Linked DNA regions of Macaca mulatta. The protein of the gene in region 2 interacts with the protein of the main gene of each other region in a biochemical or structural test. Links are inferred from orthologs where the notes say so. Each region holds a gene or a part of one and is shown on either strand. Other genes may lie near its edges. The genes, in order: RAB7A and CHM.

Region 1 (3,826 bases), on a different chromosome or scaffold from region 2:
TACTATTTTTTTCACTTCTTGAAGTTCTAAGTTTTCCATATCCTCATTTTTTTATAGTATCCCTTTCCATTATGGTTTCTATTTCTTTTTAGAACATCTCTAGTCATTGTGAACATCTCTTGTGGTACATTATTTCCTCATGTGGTTATGAATTCATCTTCTCTCCTACAGTAGTAAATGTCCCTACAGAGTAGTCTTACCCTTGTTTTTGCCAGGATTGACAGAGATTTATGTTAAATTCTTTGAGACAAAGATTTCTGTACACGTGGATAGTGGGACTGAGATTCTCCAACAACTGCAGACACAAGTTTTGCCAATTCCTTGGGCCAAGGTTTTCCAGTTCTACTCTCAAGCTTGACTTGCTTAAACTGCAGTTACATTTTGAAGATCTCTAGGTGTATGTGTATAGGTAAGGTGAGGATGAGAGATTCATACTAGCTCTGTCCTAGAAGTGTCAGTCAATTAAGAGTCCTGATCCTCTAGGAGCATGCCACAGCTCGAGGTCAACACATGTACAAACTTCTACCTTTAACCTACATCATTCACACATTTCAGCGAGCCCCCACTATCTGCCAGGTACTTGCTAGGACTACAATGGGATTGGAATTTGCCTCTAGAAGCATGTAGGAAAGAACATCTGCCACAGAGATAGAAGTTTCAAAAGATCTGAGCGAAAAGTTGGAGACTTCCGGTGGGTATACAGGCCCTGCTGGAAGCAGAGACATATCCACCAACACAAGTCTGTAAGAGCAGCACATGATTCAGAAGGACTGGAAGGAGACAAAAAAAAGTGAGTAGCAGCTATTTCTACCATCTTTCCTTGCCTCCATAATGGTGTGCATGAATGTCTTGGTTGATGCTCTCAAAGGCAAACACCAGGTACTTATTAGGCTGTGCTCCCAAGTCATCGTCTGGTTCTAAGTGTGAAATGAAACATGATCACATTGAAAAATTGAAATCATCGGTGATCACAGAGCTGGGAAAATTACTGTGAACCTCACAGGCAGGTTAAAACTGGAATGAATGGCCCCAGATTTGATGTGCAACTCAAAGATCTAGAAAAGTGACAGAATAATCTACTCCTATCCCAATAGTTTGGTTTCAAAGTCAGGTTGTACTGACAACCTCAGCTGGCATCACGGACCATGAATAAAGAGATGAAAATACAGGAGGGAAAATCATGGGATTCTTTTATTTTTTTAATTTAGTGACAGGGTCTCACTCCATCACCCAGGCTGGAGTATAATGGAGCAGTCACAGTTTACTGCAGGCTCGAACTCCTGGGCTCAAGGTATCCACCCTTCAGGGGTTCTTTTCTAGGGATATAATACATGTATACAAACAAAATGACTCAAAGGGGAAAAAAAAAGGGAGTAACAGTTTATAGCCAGAATGTGAAGGCTTTTCAACAAGTCACATGAAAGAATCTACATCTTATCCTAACTGTTGAAAGGGAAACCCTTGAAAGATTAATAAGCTGATACATAAAAAAAAAACAGATTGGCTCAATAGACACACAACTCTTGAAGTTACATATGAAATAGAAAGTCAAAAAAATAAAGAAACTTCATGTCTCACTACTGAGGTGAGACAAAGATGTTTACCTAAAGCACTGGGCAAGAACGTCAAGAGAAACACAAGATAGAGACCTGCAGGTTGCCAAATTTAGCAAACAAGACCAAAAACAACAAAAAACAAGAAAGGATAAATCTGAGTTTTTTTTAAAAAAAGAAGAAATTTTAGTGTGTCTTAGCAATTTGTATCTGAGATATACAAGAAGTATACCAAAAAAGTATTCACTATTGATCTGAAATTCAAATTTAACTAAGTATCAGCCAATTATCTACAAACAGGATAATAAGATTTGAAGAACAGGGAAGAAAAATGTCTATGCATGAGGAAAGATTAAGACTAAAGGAACTATCAAGGCCTGGTTAGCACAGCCAAGACATATGCTTACCTGCATTGTGACTAGTCTGTCATCCACCATCACCTCCTTGGTCAGAAAGTCAGCTCCTATTGTGGCTTTGTACTGATTGCTGAATTTCTTATTCACATACTGGTTCATGAGTGATGTCTTCCCGACTCTGAAATTGGAGAAAAACCACAAGCATAAGTCAAATAGGAAGGTCCTGAAACTGACATGAATTACTTGAAGCATTTGAAAGAATCTGCCTGACCTGAAGGACAAGAAACTGCTCTCACAGCAAAGGGCAATGCCAGTAGCCTTCCCAGCATTACACTTTTGAAGTTTTGTGCTTTCTCTCTGGGTAAAAATACAAGGTACAGATGTGGGGCAGATGTGGAAAAGCTGCTTACATGTTTTGGTACAATCAGGTCAAATGGTAAAGCCTAGTATTATTTTTCCCATTCTAGAAGGATGCCAGCAAATATACTCCTTCTAAAGAAGCTTCACTAATAAGAGTGCTCTGCTATTCCAACAGTATCCCTGCTATCTTAGATGTTTCTCCATTTAGTGGCTGCTCTTTAGCTTGATGAAGTAACACCAGGAGGAAGACCTTGGCTTTGAGCAGACATATACCACTCAGACAATTTGCTGCTTTAAAGTTTAAAATCTGAAGCAGAAAAAGCACCAATATATCACCAAACCAAATATACTTCAAAGAATACTCCTCCAAATATGTTTTCCAGTAAGAAAACTCAGCAAGAGACAATGTGTGATTTTTGTGTGATGAGGTTAAGGCAACCTAAAGATAATGCAAAAACCTTCCAAATACCCAGTGATATCACCTTCCTTTGCCACAAAGGAACATGTTCATATTTGTGTTAAAGAACCTAGAGGTACCCAGACAGCCTAAGGCAGTGTTTTCCAATCCAGACCACCAGAGCCAGAATCTCCAAGGGGAGAGGTGGCAAAACCTGGAATCAAATGAGGGCTCGGTGAGACTTTTTGCACACATTTGGGTAAGGCAGGCCTAAAAGCACTATCTTTCCATCCCGACAGGGATGGAGTTGCGGGGTAGGAAAGACAGCACAAATTTAGGCCCTAGCCCACTGGTCTGGGGCTGGACAAATGCTAGCGAATAAAAGGTTCTTCAAAGGCTGGGCATTGTGGCTCAAGCCTGTAATCCCAGCACTTTGGGAGGTCGAGACGAGTGGATTGCTTGAGCGCAGGAGTTTGAGACCAGCCTGGGCAACATGGCGAAACTCTGTCTCTACAAAAAATACAAAAATTTAACCAGGAGTGGTAGAACATACTTGTGGTCCCAGCTACTCTGGAGGCTGAGGTGGGAGGATCACTTGAGCCCAGGAGGTTGAGGCTGCAGTGAGCTGTGATTGCACCATTCACTCTAGTCTGGGCAACAGGGCGAGACCCTGTCTCTCACACGCATACAAAAAAAGGTTCTTCAGGTGATTCAGATAAGCCAGTCAAGATAGAAAAACCTCTGGCTTTTCAAAGGAAGGACAGGGGACTTTGGACTAAAGAAGCATGCCTGCATTTGCTATTGTTGTTATTTTTAAAAATATATAAGCTTCCAATGAGTCAAAGCTTTCATGGGTCCCTTCAGATACCAAGTCTGAAAAGCCTACCACAGAATCTTTTTATTTTAAGAGTTGGGGTCTTGCTCTGTCACTCAGGCTGCAGTGCAACGGCATGATCATACCTTGCTACAGCCTCAAACTCCTGGGCTCAAGCCATCCTCTCGCCTCGGCCTCCCCAGAAGCTAGGACTACAGGTATGGCACCTGGCTATATTTTTTTTTGTAGAGACAGGTCTCAAACTCCTGGGCTCAAGCAATCCTCCCCTCAGCCTCCAAAGCACTGGAATTATGGGCATAAGCCACCTCACCAAACCTACCACAGA
Region 2 (3,826 bases):
ACAACTTGTCAAGGGAAATGTTTTGGTCCCTCTCTGTCCCCTATTACTTGGAACTTGAAGAAAGCACATTAAATTGAAAAGCCTAGTTCTGTGCTAGTTCTGTGGCAAGTTACTTACTATCCTCTTGTACTTCTTTTCAATTCCTTATTGTTAGCTCTCAACTTATAGGATTTAGTCTCTGTTTTTATCTACTTTTATCCTGTCCTGTACTGTAACCCTTTAAGGCCATAATCCTTTATCTTACTGATTTTCTATTCTTTTGCACTAAAATAGTCTTGCTTCCTATAAACCAAATGCAATATTGTACCCTTCTAAGATGGAGGGACCTCCTGTGAAGTTACAGTGAACTACGTTCAAGTTAGTTATATTCAGGAACATAACTGAAGACAATAGCTTTCTTCCCAGCCTTCCTGCCTCCATCACTATTAAATTTTCCTCTGAAGCTTTCAAACCTGAACACATGATTTTTTTTGAGACTCTTTTTTTAAAATTATACTTTAAGTTCTGGGATACATGTTCGGAACGTGCAGATTTGTTACATAGGTATACACACGCCATGGTGTTTTGCTGTACCCATCAACCTGTCACCTACATACCCATCATCTACGTAGGTATTTCTCCTAATGCCATCCCTTCCCTAACCTCCAACCCCCACAGGCCCCGGTGTGTGATGCTCCCCTCCCTGTGTCCATGTGAACACATGATTTTTAAAAATGCATTGGTTTATTCTGAGTATTCATCATCATCCAGTTGTGAAAATAGTTACTATATATAAAGGCTAAAAGAATTGATGGAAATGGACTGTAAATAACATGGATTTCTAAACATGTTCATTAGAATTTTTCTTTTGATAGAATTCATAGTGTCCAGAGAATATTAGGTTGTAGTATGTGCTCAAGTACAAAAGTATTCTTCAGGTATAGATTAAAAACATAATTAAAGCATTTTAATGTGATCACTTTAAACGTGTTTTTAATTTGTACTTAAGGAATATTTTAAATGAACTACAAATGTCTGGCTACTCTCTCTTTACAAAACAAACGTTTTGCATCTCAGAGAATTACAAAAACTGGGTTTATGGGTCCAGATACTGTTTTTAATGCAAAGATGGGTAAAATTAGTACTTACCTTTGATACTAAATCAATATTAAATCTCCTGCCTTCTTTAATAATTTGCGAGTAAGTAATTCTGTTTTTCTTTGGTTGTTCTGTGGTATCTTCTGCTATAGGCACATTTTCACTCACGTCTTCTGCTGAAGTTGATGGCACACAAGTTTTATCATCACAATGGTTTTCTTTTTCCCCTGTCACTTCAGCACCATTTACTTCTAGCGCATTCTCTGGATCACTGCTTGGAGTTTGTTCTGTGAGCATTTCACAGTTCATAGTGCTTAATGACTCATCCTCCATAGGTAGGAAGGAAGAATCTGCAGCTTCTGTGGAGTTTGCAGATGTCACAAGAGCATGATTTTTCTGCAGTGCACCAGCCTCTTCTACATCTTCATGCAAATCCTGACTAATAAGAAATTATAATAATAAACACCAGGCTTTTGTTAATTCTACCCTGCTACATTTTTATATTGCTTTAACTTTTCACAGCAACTTTTATTCCTTTACCCCTTTTATCAAGTTCAGTGTACGTTTTGCTTATGTGACTCAGACATTAAACATTCATCTGTTCATGTTTCAGTAAAATAAGAAACAAAATTAAGATTTGAAAAATATAAAGATTTCACGTCACATGCACATTTTTGAGAATTTAAGACAGGGGAGTTGTATTTTGGAGGCAAATTACCACAGTGATGAAGAACATAGTCTTCAGAATAACAGATCTTGGTTCAAATCCTGACCATATGACTAGTAAGCTCTGTGAACTTAGACTAGTTATTTATCCTCTCTGAGACCACCTAAATTACCCATCTATGAAACAGAGATAATACCACCCACCTCACAAGGTTGTTCTGAAGATTAAATTAAGTACTGCATGCAAAGAGCCTGACACAGTGCTTGGGACATAGTAAATGCTCAACAGTGGTAGTTATCAACATTGTTATTATTGAGGAATTCCTGACTTGGTGATATGACCGAAGACCTTCAATAAAGGGAAAAAAAATCTGCCTTGAAAAGATTAAGTTGGCCTATCACAATGTGGTGTCTAATAGGACCTTTCTGTATAATTTCCTGCCTTTTTTAGCACTGATGTCTATTACTCTAGTCGAAGTCCCATTTCCAAATTTATTATTAGAGTTAACATTCTCAGTCCACCATTGTCTTGATTTATAGAACAGGCTCCCATTCAGTCTGTCTGCTTTAGCAATTTCTGTATGATATTTTATCCTCCACAGAGCCCACTATTTTCACTGAGTTGCCACACTGCTCAATATCTGGCACAATGCTTTGTATGCGATTGGTCTTGGCAACTAAAATTCTGCTAGTTGACTGATCAAGAACTAACAATAGCCCTTCCTTATAACAAATCTAAAACTTACCCCACAAAAAAATCTTCCTCTTCCTGTCTCTAAATCAAACCGTCTTCCTTATTTACTAATCTTCTGGCTTCATCTCCACCTACTTTCCAACATGGCATCTCTAACTCCAAATTTATCAATTCTAATTGTCAAATCATGATAGTTTGGTTCATATCATTTGTCTCTTCCGTCCTTTTCTTCCCACTCTGCATAATATCACAATTCTTCCATTCTCAAACATAATCACATACTTTAACAAACTACTTTAAGAAAAAGTTTAAATTTCACTTTGAATTAGTCTTCCTTAGCCCAATTACACTCATCACTCTATTATACCATGCTCCCATAATACACACATGCAGTTTACCTAGCATGTATTTATCCATTCCTTTTTAATAATCTTTTGGTTTTCCGGTATATCCTTTATCTTCCCAATCAGACTGTAATTCCTGGAGGGAATACCTTAGCACCGTTCCTTCTGTGCCCCACACAACACCTACTGCACTGCTCTATAGATATGGTATCTGATAAATGCTTGATGAATAATGGTTTATACATGCAAAGGCTATTTTTGTTTCAAATGTGAAACAAACTTCTTGCAAAAAACACAAAAAATAAGGCCAAGAAAAAAACATTGTATTGCAAATTAGAAAATCTGAGTTAAGTGAAAAAAATAATTGTCTTATTAAAAATAATACAATAAACACTACAAAAACAAAGAGGGGCAATGAAAGAATAACACTCAAATGTCAAGAAATAAAATGCCACATTTACTGTTATAGTAATTCTAATAAAATCTAACAAAAAAACAAATTGATATCATTAATGTTACATGAATACTTTTGAGATCTAGGAAACTGAAGTGAGGAAAACATCCATGTTCTATCCCAGACTCATCACCTAGGAAATACTTGCAAGTCATTTAATCTGTCTGATTCACCACCTATAAACTGGGGATCAGTCCACCTGCCCTACCTTTTATGAAACTGTTGTGAGATAAGAAAGTTAACATATATGAAAAGTAGTTTATAAACTATAAAAGGTTAGTCAAATATAAGATACTAATCAGGCCGGGCACGGTGGCTCACACCTGTAATCCCAGCACTGTGGTAGGCCGAGGTGGGTGGATCACTTGAGGTCAAGAGTTCAAGACCAGCCTGACCAACATGGTGAAACCCCATCTCTACTAAAATACAGAAATTAGTCAGGCGTGGTGGTGGGCACCTGTAATCTCAGCTACTTGGGAGGCTGAGGCCAGAGAATTGCTTGAACCCGGGAAGTGGAGGTTGCAGAGAGCCAAGATCGACCCATTGCACTCCAGCCTGGGCAACAAGAGCAAAACTCCGTCCTAAAAAAAA

What was found.
Region 1: the proteins of CHM (region 2) and RAB7A are reported together in a solved structure, tested with the Homo sapiens proteins (2 studies listed by BioGRID, with this or other methods). The link is inferred for Macaca mulatta from reciprocal best matches to the Homo sapiens genes CHM and RAB7A.

The regions. Positions count from the first base shown.
Region 1 is NC_133407.1:155,157,935-155,161,760, forward strand, and holds part of RAB7A (ras-related protein Rab-7a), read right to left. Parts: intron 2,088-3,826; coding exon 1,961-2,087; intron 1-1,960.
Region 2 is NC_133426.1:92,377,636-92,381,461, forward strand, and holds part of CHM (rab proteins geranylgeranyltransferase component A 1), read right to left. Parts: intron 1,517-3,826; coding exon 1,129-1,516; intron 1-1,128. UniProt on the Homo sapiens protein: Substrate-binding subunit of the Rab geranylgeranyltransferase (GGTase) complex.